Linked DNA regions of Nothobranchius furzeri. Each later gene encodes a partner of the first gene's protein in a complex. Links are inferred from orthologs where the notes say so. Each region holds a gene or a part of one and is shown on either strand. Other genes may lie near its edges.

What was found. The genes of interacting proteins can lie anywhere in the genome.
Region 2: nup107 (region 1) and nup85 share a complex: the UniProt entries of both Homo sapiens proteins name them as parts of the nuclear pore complex. The link is inferred for Nothobranchius furzeri from reciprocal best matches to the Homo sapiens genes NUP107 and NUP85.
Region 3: nup107 (region 1) and cetn3 share a complex: the UniProt entries of both Homo sapiens proteins name them as parts of the nuclear pore complex. The link is inferred for Nothobranchius furzeri from reciprocal best matches to the Homo sapiens genes NUP107 and CETN3.

The regions. Positions count from the first base shown.
Region 1 is NC_091741.1:38,075,445-38,078,956, reverse strand, and holds part of nup107 (nuclear pore complex protein Nup107), read left to right. Parts: intron 1-52; coding exon 53-112; intron 113-189; coding exon 190-335; intron 336-414; coding exon 415-463; intron 464-552; coding exon 553-622; intron 623-3,512. UniProt on the Homo sapiens protein: Plays a role in the nuclear pore complex (NPC) assembly and/or maintenance. Required for the assembly of peripheral proteins into the NPC. May anchor NUP62 to the NPC. Involved in nephrogenesis.
Region 2 is NC_091752.1:54,263,465-54,267,404, reverse strand, and holds the start of nup85 (nuclear pore complex protein Nup85), read right to left. Parts: upstream 2,807-3,940; 5' UTR 2,673-2,806; coding exon 2,640-2,672; intron 2,235-2,639; coding exon 2,144-2,234; intron 2,049-2,143; coding exon 1,892-2,048; intron 1,792-1,891; coding exon 1,721-1,791; intron 1,635-1,720; coding exon 1,591-1,634; intron 1,442-1,590; coding exon 1,372-1,441; intron 1,245-1,371; coding exon 1,123-1,244; intron 1,006-1,122; coding exon 871-1,005; intron 1-870. Other genes in the region: small ubiquitin-related modifier 2, read left to right, coding at 3,512-3,532. UniProt on the Homo sapiens protein: Essential component of the nuclear pore complex (NPC) that seems to be required for NPC assembly and maintenance. As part of the NPC Nup107-160 subcomplex plays a role in RNA export and in tethering NUP96/Nup98 and NUP153 to the nucleus.
Region 3 is NC_091746.1:37,904,222-37,908,295, forward strand, and holds the start of cetn3 (centrin-3), read left to right. Parts: upstream 1-1,268; 5' UTR 1,269-1,412; coding exon 1,413-1,429; intron 1,430-2,280; coding exon 2,281-2,419; intron 2,420-2,784; coding exon 2,785-2,899; intron 2,900-2,982; coding exon 2,983-3,174; intron 3,175-3,543; coding exon 3,544-3,587; 3' UTR 3,588-4,074. UniProt on the Homo sapiens protein: Plays a fundamental role in microtubule-organizing center structure and function. As a component of the TREX-2 complex, involved in the export of mRNAs to the cytoplasm through the nuclear pores.

The DNA.
Region 1 (3,512 bases):
GCTGAAACTGAGAAAAAACAACGGTATGAACCGAAACGCCTGTATGTTTCAGGACCAGTTAAACCGATATGAGAAGGCGATCTACGCCGGCCTGAGCGGAAACCTCAAACCAGTAATTCCATTTACAAAGTAGAGGAGTGATCAGATTGATGCGTTGACCTGTGGAGGTGACTGGTGGTTTTTGTTCAGCTCCTTTCAGTGTGTGAGTCATGGGAGGACTGTGTGTGGGCCTACTTCAGAGTGATGGTCGACTCGCTGGTAGAGAAAGAGCTTATGTCGTCGGGCATGGCCCATCAGGAAGTAGAGTCGCTACCCCGAGAATATCTGGAGGCCAAGTAGGAAACACATTAACTGGAAGAAAATATTCCAAAATAAAGTTTCTGACGACTGTACTGTCTGGGGTTTTCTTCACAGTTGGACCATGGAAAAGGTTTTTGAGGATCTCCAAGCGTCAGAATCAAAGGTGACGCTCTCGCCGACCGATTGTGTGGATTAAAATGAGAAATGTCTGACAGCGCCTCATCCTGAAGCTCTTTCTGTGTTTATGTTCAGAGAGTTCTGGATGAAAGTAAAGAACATCATCACATCATCCAGAAGTTTGTCATCCTGGGAGATCTTGACGGTAAAACAACCCAAATCTTTGTTGTTGTTTTTTTCTTATGGAGGCTGAAAGGGATCAAAAAGCTGCTGATGGGCACGGGCCAGCGTGTTCCCTCGCCCGGACCCGGGTCACCGGGGCTCCCCTCTGGAGCCAGGCCTGGAGGTGGGGCACGATGGCGAGCGCCTGGTGGCCGGGCTTTTACTCGTGGAGCCCGGCCGGGCACAGCCCAAAGAGGAAACGTAGGTCCCCCTTTCCATGAGTTCACCACATGTGGAAGGGGCCGGGTGGTAGCTGTATGCAGGGACCTTGGAGGTCTGATCCTCGGCTACAAAAGCTGGCTCTCAGTATGTGGAATGTCACCTCTCTGGTGGGGAAGGAGCCGGAGTTGGTGGGTGGGGTTGAGATGTTCTGACTAGATATAGTCGGACTCACCTCGACGCATGGCTCTGGCTCCAGAACCAGTTTCCTTGAGAGGGGTTGGACTTTCTACCACTCTGGAGTTGCTCCCACTGAGAGGCGCCGAGCAGGGGTGGGCATACTAGTTGCCCCCCATCTTGGTGCCTGTACGTTGGGGTTTACCCCAGTGAACGAGAGGGTAGCCTCCCTCCGCCTCCGTGTGGGGGGACGGGTTCTGACTGTGGTCTGTGCTTCTGCACCAAACTGCAGCTCAGACTACCCACCCTTTTTGGAGACCTTGGAGGGGGTGCTGGAAAGCGCTCCTTCAAGTGACTCCCTCGTTCCGCTGCAGGACTTTAACGCTCATGCGGACAACGACAGTGAGACCTGGGCCCTCATTTGTCGACCGTTCGTAGAAAGGGTCCTCTATTCCCTCTTACGACTGAAATTTAGAATGTGTGTGTGCGGTGGCCTCTCGTACGCACGTCTGATGGTAAATCCCAACCTGTGCGTACCCAGGTGCTCGTGTCCGTTCTCAGTAATTTACATACAGAAATGGACTGGAATCGGATTAATGCGGTTTGTCTGTCGCGCCACAAAGGGTCCCAAACCACAGCATAGCAGCAGGATTTGTTTTGAGATCAGAGCGCTCATGGAGATGGCGTTCCCTTCAGAGAGCACGCTCTGCTAAATCCTCCATTAACACAGATCAGCCGTGATATTAAGTCAGATTTCCATCGGTCACGGGTGTCTTTTATTGGTTTTAGCACTAATTATGTGAAAAAGCCATTTTTCCACCGACATAATTACATACTGGTACCGGCAGTCCAAACGGAATGCAGGTCGGATGATCACAGAGGCAAAAACACATGTGTGGGAGGAGTTTGGTGAGCCCATGTAGCAAGACTTCCGTATAGCTTTGAGAGGAGATTCAAAGCTCTTGATTTACAGGTCGATCTGCATTCCTACCCTGACCTATGGTCACGAGCTTTGGGTAGTAACCTAAAGAATGAGAGCACGGATACAAGCGTCCGAAATGAGTTTTCTCCGCAGGGTGGCTGGGCTCTCCCTTAGAGATAGGGTGAGAAGCTCAGTCATCCGGGAGGGGCTTGAAGTAGACCCGCTGCTCCTCCACATCGAGAGGAGCCAGCTGAAGTGGCTTGGGCATCTGATCAGGATGCCTCCTGGACGCCTCCCTGGTGAGGTTTTCCGGGCACGTCCAACCGGGAGGAGACCTAAAGGTAGACCCAGGACACGCTGGGGGGACTTTGTCTCTCGACTGGCCAGGGAACGCCTTAGGGTTCCCATGCCATACCATGCCATAGTTTACTTATACAGCACATTTAAAACGCAGCATGGGAGCTGCCCAAAGTGCTGCACAGGCTGGACCAAATCACGACCAATCAAAGCAACAAAAACAGAAGATAAAAATACCGATCAGTAAAAGCAAATAAAAAATGAGGAATACTAAGAACACAATAAAACACTAAAACGAGTCACGGTCTAAAAGCCAAATCGTAGAAGTGGGTCTTTAAACGAGATTTAAAAAGTAAGCAGGTCAGAGAGATGGGGAGATGCCAGGTCATCGAGTGCTTTAAAGACAAAAGTCAATAACTCAGTAGCTGCTGAGAGGGAAGTCTGGGCCTCTCGGCTTAGGCTGCTGCCCCCGCGACCCGACTCCGGATAAGCGGCTGAAAATGGATGGATGGAGTTTAGTTGTTTTTTTTTAATATATATTTTTTTAAGTTTAGTGTTTCAATCTGATTTTCTCCTTGAGAGCCAAAGGAAGCTGCTTTAGTTTTAGCTTTGTTACAAAAGGGATAAAACTGTGTTCAGGAATGGATGGAAAACAAAAATTTTAACAGGCAGATTCTCTATTTTATAAATGGTGTTTACAGTTTTTCCACAAAAATAAGCAATCAATGATGAACAAGAGTCTGCTTCTAGACCTGCAGAAAGAGAAAAAAGGGAAATATAAAATCAACATTATTTTACTGAACAATCACGATAATAAGTCACAGTGCATTTAGTGGCAACCACAGCCTTAAGACCTGTGTTGAACGTGCCCAAGTCCATACTTATGAGAGCACCTAGTAAGCACCTGTGTGTGTACACACGCTTGTTTTTGTAAGGTTTCTCTATAGGAGCGTCCAATAGAGAGTGTGAGGGGCCACAGATCTGCCCCCTAAAGATGTGTAGGAGACAGGGGGAGCTCCAAGTCTCAGAAATCCAGGAGCTGCCCCAGAGCACAGGGACCCCAGGGAGACAGTGACCAGAAAAGCCCCTACCCCCTCAAGAGGCGCAGAGGATCGCCCTGGGGGCCACAACCAGCAGCCGGCAAAGTCCTGGGAGACATCAGCGGCAAGCCCACAGGCCCGCCCCGCAGCCTCCCACCCCCAAGCCGGCTGAGCCCGGGACCCGGATCCCACCAGGCAACCACCGGATCAATCAGGCAGATGCCAAAAATCTTAAACCCCTCTGACCCGGGAGCCGCGGACACTCAGGCAGACCGAAG
Region 2 (3,940 bases), on another chromosome or scaffold:
GGCAAGCCACAACAGACGGCGCCATCATATTAAAAATATCACAAAAATAGGTTTTCACCATCTAAAGAACATCACCAGAGTCCGCCCCATTCTCTCTCGGGCCAATACGGAGACGCTAGTAATGCATGCTTTTATCACCAGTAGGATAGACTACTGCAATGCCCTGCTTTCTGGTCTTCCTAAAAAGAGGACTTCAGGTCTACAACTATTACAAAACTCAGCAGCACGTGTCCTGACGAAGACCAGGAAGCGGGAGCACATCACTCCAGTTTTAGAATCACTGCATTGGCTCCCCGTATGTTTCATGTGTGTATGTGTGCCGGACAATGAGTGTTGTGAAGGGGTTTTTATTCTCAGACTCTTTTTAAAATTCTGGGGATGGGAGGGAATGTGGGTATGCGGGGCCTTTTTAATTTGTTAAGCACTTGGGAGTTACATGCATTGTATGATTAAGTGCTATATAAATAAAGTTTGATTTGACGGCTAATGCAGGAAGAAGGGGTAGAAGATCTGCATGTTAAACTCACCCGAGTGACCAACTGTATTTCAACAATAACAAAACTGGTTTAGTCTTTAAATAAAATGGTAAACTGCTGAAAATTTTAGATACAAGACTCCTGAAATATGACACTTTAGGGGAAGGGTTGATTTTCTTGTGTTGGGTGCATCGTGTTTAGGTGTGTGAAGTCGCTACAAACTTTAAATACAAAAAACATTTGATCTATTTCAGAAAATGTCAAAAGCTATTAAGAAAAACTAAGCCAAAAGGCCAAGGTGAAAGACTAGGGTCTTTTAAATGTCAGGTCAACTTTAGCATTTTAGGCTTTTTGTTGAGACAACAGAAAATGTGGTAAAATACATGGTGCTCACATTATAGAAGGGCATCTTGCTTAGCAGGCTATCCATCAGCTTGTACATGCTCTTGGCAGCAGGTTGCAGCATCGCCTGTTTCATCAGCATCTTCCTAGTGTCTTCCAACCTTCCCTGTAGCACATAACTTAAAACCTGAAACACACAAAACGCAAAAAATGAGATCTCCCACTGTAGTCTGTCAGGAAAGAACATATTATTTAAAGAACAGGGATTAAATAAATGATCTAAGAGGGTTTTTACAGCACATACCACATCCCAGTAGTCACGATGCTCAGCAGGGCTGTCACTCTGCAGCACCCCCTTCGCCTTCTCATCCACATCGGATTTATGTAACCTCACCCAGTCCAGAAGGTGTAGTAGGAGGGAACCAGCTGAGAAGACACACACACATCACTGCATTGTTTTTTGAGCGTGTGTTCATAATCTCAAAGTCAAATACTCTAAGAAAAAATGTTTTCCGAAAAGAAAAAGAAGAATTAAGACTAATCAGCCTCTGACCTGGAGCAGCATCAATGAAAAGCACTTCACACAGATTCCAGATCAGTTCTATGGCCAACAGGATGGACACCTGTGACAGGAAAAATCAGATGGACATCAGAAAAATGGACCAGAGAATAAAAATGTTATGTCATGTGTACTTAGGACCTTACGTCATGAACTAACTGCATGGTGAATATATTTAGTTAAACTCCAAGACAAAACATTTTAAGTACATGCCTGATTTCCGTACTGTGTGGCCATATCTGTGTCATTTGCAGAAACTGTACAAAATGCATAATAATGGAGTTTATTATTCTTGCATAAGATTGCTCAGAACATGTTTTTAGTAAAATTCAAGACAGCTCACCTGCAGCTTGCTGAAGCTCTTCCATACAGGCTCGAATCACAGACCTGTAGTTTCTGCTGATGCTTACAAACCTGTAAAGAAAATCTCAGTTATCATAAGTAACATTTATCTGCTCATTTTAACTTAAAAGCAGGGTGTACAGTGGTGGAGGACCCCGTGGAGCCTTCTTACTGTGGTTTTTTGCTCTTGCTTGGGAGATCATCTTTGATTGTCTGCAGTCCAACAAAGATGTGATGCGACTCGTTAAAAAGTTTTCTTAAGATGGGGGAATAGATGTCCTCGTCTTTCCGCACCACGTGGATGAAGGCACAACCTGACCCTGTAGGTCCTGAAACAAAGAAAACACATTACACAAAATGCATCAAAAATACAGTTAAAAAAAAAGCACTTGAGGCAGGACTTTGATTTAAAAACTCCTTCTACCTGATGCTTTGTTTTGTGTCTCATACACAAGTATATCACCAGGACCCCATGCAAATCCCATACGCTTCCCAGGTCTGATTCCAGAAATATTCTGCATTTAAAAAAACACAACATTTTATGAAGTACAAAGAGATATTTTATTAAACACTTTAATCAAGCAAAACCTTGCATTTCTAAAAAATTAGTATTATTAAATAGTTGACCCACTTCAAACTATAAAGAATGTCAATGTTGCCCCATTTTTAACTAATGAATACCATATAACAAACACATCAACCAACTCGTACAGGCGTTTACAAGCTAATAATAACACTTCCCTCACCTACGTTTGAAGTCACTCGCACAGTGATTATCCTTTATTGCGCGTTTTACTAAACCCAAAATAAATTGTTGGTTTCGTGATTTCAGAAGGTTGTTGCGGTTCCGCTAGCTTGTTAGCAGTAGAGTGGCTATTAGCAGTAAAAACCATGGTAAAAACACACAAGAGACAACTTACAGTAACTACCGGCTCAACGTCTACTTCCTCCATCTGGTAATAATGTTTCTGATGCAAAGAAAATATAAAATACAAACTATTCAGCTACAAAATATACATTAAATACATGTGATGCTCTCATCTGCTATTACGCGCCGTGGTTCATGGGTGCTTGAAATCCACTATTGCGCATGCGTCACGAAGGGCTGCCCTTTCTAATGCCTGTTTTTTAATCGACTGCTGTTAATAAAGCAAATAAAATTGTCCCTCTCATATACATTGGAATTAGATAATTCGTAACGCATGATTACGCAATAAAATGTGGTTATGTGGAGTCAGATTTACCTTTAATATTAATTCACTCAAAAACACAAACATTCCCACTGGAAAATGTTTATAAAGAGCACTTCTGTGAAATATCCTATAACCTATAACTGAACTGAAGTTGCTTTTAGGCATATTTAGTGAAACAAGATGGCCGCTGGTAAACAGGGATAAGACCAGTAACATGGGTATCATGTCTTCCAAGTTTGGATACCACGCAGTAGAGGGATGTTGACTAAACTTCCCGACGCAGACGTGAAGTAATTCACGCAATAACTGTCTCATTTGATAATGTCTACGTTCATAAAGCTTAAAGCAAAAGGGAAAACATCGCTGTGCGCGTGCATGTGGATTATAGCGCCTCTGTGACGCGCTCGCGGGACTCTCCCGCCCATCACCAGACCGCGCTTTCACCTCGTGACCAATTTAAGCAAATGAGTGTCGGCCAAGGTGGACGCGCACGGATACAGGGTCGCGCACGTTTGCAAGATTATTTTAAACGGGCACGAGTACGTGCGCGTGCTCGTATTCTTTGTGTGGCAGCGTAGAGAAGCGCCAAAAGAGTGACCATGGCTGATGAAAAACCAAAGGTTAGTGTCTCCATTATGTCGACTGAGTTTTTTTTACCCGCTTTGGAATGTAGGAACTTAAAAGGAAGAAGCACAACTCCGCATGTTGCGTTACAGACCATTTTAAAGTTGCTTGATACAATTCACCTAGCTGCTACTTTGATAGACCGGAAGGTTTGTGAGCGCGCATCCGCAGGCGCGCATTCTCCTTCCTTCCTCTTGATAACATACAGACGACCAGCTGGTGTCGTCCTCAGTCCAAAAGTCATGTGAGTTTGTGTTGATCTGGGAAAAAGATTTCAACTAGCTTGTGTAAATTAGTGCAACATTTTTGTCTGCACTCAACAGTTTCATATTTCTTAAAAATAAAAAGGTCACATTTTTACAACTACAGAATCTTCATTCACTCTGTGCCATGATTTACTAATA
Region 3 (4,074 bases), on another chromosome or scaffold:
ATCGGTGCATTCCTAGTTACAGTTTGCTTCAACTATGAGACAGAATGTAAAAAATCCTGGAAGTCACACTGTAAAATTTTCTAAGAAATTATTTGTATCATGGTGCAGAAGATACATATTTAGTGCCTACATATGTGCAATAATTCTGGTCCTCACATACCTGTTACTTCTTCTTTAAGAAGCTTATCTATCCTCCACTTGCTGACTGAATTAGTGGCAACTGGTATCTGTATAAAAGACACCTGTCTACACCTTCAGTCAGTCAGACTCCACCATGGCCAAGACCAGAGAGTTGACAAACGACATCAGTGTCAGGATTGTACACCTGCACAAGATTGGCTTGAGTAAATCCACAACAGGTAAGCAACTTGGTGGGAAGAGATCAACTGTTGCAGCAATTATTAGAAACTGGAATAAATACAAAATCACTGACAGTATTCCTCGACCTGTGGCTCTGTGTAAGATCTCACCTTGTGGGGTACAAATGATCTTGAGAATGGTGAGGAAACAGTCCAGAAGTACATATGGGGAATTAGTGAATGACCTGAAGAGAGCTGGCACCACAGTGACAAAGGTTACTACTGGTAACATACTACATTGTTATAGATTAAAATCCTGTGGCACTCAAAAAGTCCTGGCGATGTTAGAACATCCACAACTTAGTTTAGAGAAAGAAGATTTTTCCTATGAAAGAGCACTCTTTGGTGGGCAAAAACTAAAAGCAGCACTTTTTGGCAACTCTGAACTCTGGCTGCTTAGAATTTCTGAAAGTTAAGATTTAACTGGGCTTGGAATAATAGTTTTATAAAGCAGCTTGAACGTATGAGACTTTAACAGCTGGTGGAGAGGGTGTCCCCCCACCCCAAAATTTTTTTTAAAACAAAATCAAGATTTGAGGTTCATAAAGACCTTGTGAGTGTTACATTAGCACGTGAAGTCATTAGAATAATTCTCTATGTCCAAATTCACCAGATATTGAAAATTTTAGGAGAATTTAGGTACCTTACATAATATACAGGCCCTTTCTTCTTCTTTATGCAATGGTGATGTGTCAGAATATTTTTGATTCATCATTGGTTTGTATGTGTATATATATATATATATATATATATATACCGGGCATATGTATATCCATCCATATGTATAATATAGACTGTGGTATCAGTTATGAACACGAGGTGGCAATAGTGCTCTAATTGACTGCATAGAGCAATGACAACGACCGGGTAAGCGGCCTTGAAGAAGTAACATTAACCAACCAGATCTCGCCTAACTGCTGCCTGGCAACCAGCGACCAATAGGATTCCTGGTGTGTGAGCGCGGATAAACGGATTTGTTGTGTTTGCTGGAAGCTGTAGCCACATAGCATTCAGAATAACATTTGGTTTAAAGGTTTTATAAATTCACCTGGAATGAGTTTATCTCTAAGGTAAGGAGCTAACCTTTTGTCGCGAGATGTGGCTGTTACAGTTCAGTTGAAACCGGTGGTACGTCGAGATTTGTTCCCCAGTTGAAAAACGTACGCCTTCGCTTGTCTCGTCAAGATGATTTCGTCCTGCCAAATTGTACAATTATAGGCGTAGATGTTATTTTTTTTATCAGGATAAGACATTTATGAGGGAACGAGTCCCTTGTGTATAACTGTAAATTGAGTAATATTATCTAATTGTATCGTAATCTGAATTAGATTAGAATTAGTGATATTCACTAAACATGATGAATTTCACAGCTACAGCAATGACCAAATGATTAAGATATATATTTTTAGGGATTTTCTTGAAATAATATTGCTAAACACAACAGTTTACAAAGAAGCTGGCGGAGAAACGGTGGGGGACCCGAATGTACTAGTTTTTTGTTTTGTTTTGTTTTTTTCCATCTGTCAATAAACAATTTCCCCCAGACTTTTGGAGGTCCTCCCAATGTTTTTGGTAAATGTGGGTTGTTTTTGTTGTTGTTGTTGTTGTTCAGCAGAGGCTTTGGAGAATGAGGTTTACCTTATTGTTGACACATGACCTTAAACCTTAACCAAGTTTGACCTACAAAGCTTTAGATGTTCTTCTGGGTTATTTTGCTTTTGATTTTTTTTAGAACAAGGCATAAGGTAGATTTTTTTAAGATCCTTTAGCCTACCCTGTGTCATCAGAGAGACCCCAATAAACATTACAGAAAATGGTTTAGTTCTCATTGGATAACAAAGTGTATGGGTTAATGCATTAATAAGTCATGGCTGTGATACAGGTAGTGTCTGAGGTGAGACTGCATGTGTGTTTGTTTCAGCAGAACTGATCTTGCAGCTGAGACAACCAAGCGCAAGAAGAGGAGGGAGCTCACCGAGGACCAAAAGCATGAAATTAAAGAAGCTTTTGACTTATTTGACACGGATAAAGATAAGGAGATTGACTATCACGAGCTGAAGGTAAGAAAATGGGCCATAGTGGTGGTTGTTATGGTTACCTTATGGTTTTTGTGCCTGAAATAATGCCGTATATAAGTTATGCTTTTATAACCTCATCATTCCTATTTTTCTTTAACTGCTGTGAATGTGGAGCACCAGGTATTTATGTATTATTATGTAAGTAAAAGTAACTAAATACCATTTAATCACCTTTTGGAGAAACGCTAATGGGTTTTCCATGTCTGAAGGCACCCTGCTGAAATAAAGCTCCAGGGGAATTGGAGCTAACGTTCTACAGCAATAACATTTATTTGTTGTTTTAGTGCTAGTTACTAATTGTTCTAATCCTGAATTCAAACCAAAACAACATTTAAACATCTTGTCAGGTGGCGATGCGCGCTCTCGGTTTTGAAGTGAAGAAAGTGGATGTTCTGAAGATTCTGAAGGATTACGACAGAGAGGGAAGTGGGAAAATCACCTTTGAGGATTTCAGCGAAGTGGGTAAGGTGGTCATCGGCTCTGGTATTACCTCATAGCTTGAGGTGCTTCATTAGCTACTAAACCTTTTCCCTACCCCTCAACAGTTACGGATCGCATCTTGGAGCGAGATCCCAAAGAGGAGATCATGAAGGCTTTCAAGCTGTTTGACGATGACGAGTCAGGAAAGATCAGCCTGAGGAACCTGAGACGGGTTGCTCGAGAACTCGGGGAGAACATCAGCGACGAGGAGCTACGCAGCATGATCGACGAGTTTGACACAGACGGGGATGGAGAAAGTAAGACCGGAGTCTGAGATGAGAGCAACTCTGTCTCTCTTTTGTTGTGATTTTGTGTCTGATTAGAGCCGCAGATGCAACAATACCAACATCATCACTGCATCTTCTGGCACACACAGGCATTTTAATTATTTATATGATTGTTCCTAACATTGTTGCTTTCACTGTTAGACCAGATCCTGTCACGTCAGCAGGCATCTGCTGCCCTGGAACAAAATAGATTTACTAACGACAATGTGTAAACATGTTCAGTTAAAGTAACAAAAATCCACTGCTGCTTCGCTTTTTGTTTGTTTTCTTTCATTCTTGCGTCTAAGCTTTCCAGGTAAATCCAGTAGATCTGACCAGGTGTTTTTCCCTTCTTTTCAGTAAATCAGGAGGAGTTCCTCTCCATCATGACCAGAGACCCATGAAGAGGTTTCCCCATCTGTAAGTTGGACTCTTTGCCCATATTGGGAGGAGATATGGGCCTTGTTCTCTTGCTTCTGAGGTGGACTGGACTTTATCAGGAGCCTGGAGCTTTGTTCTGACTTGGTTTGATAAATAAAAGCACCAGATCGTGTCTGGACCAACATCTGCTCACACTGCTCAGTTCCTCTCGTAGACATGAAGTGTCAATATGATGCTGACCTGCTGGCATTTCTTTAAGAAGCGAGCTTTTATTCATGGAGTGTGTTTGTGTAGAAGACGAGTCTGAAGCTCCGTTAGGAACGTGTTAATGTGATGTAGTAAAACACAGAAGATCAGATCTGTTTCACTCGTATCCTATTTGACCTGTTGCAGTTATTAGTTAAATGTGGCATATTTATTTTTAAATTGTTTTGCCAACCCTACTCATTTGTCATTTCCCAAAGAGCCAGAGTCGTCAGACCCGGCACCATCATACTTTAATAAAGTACT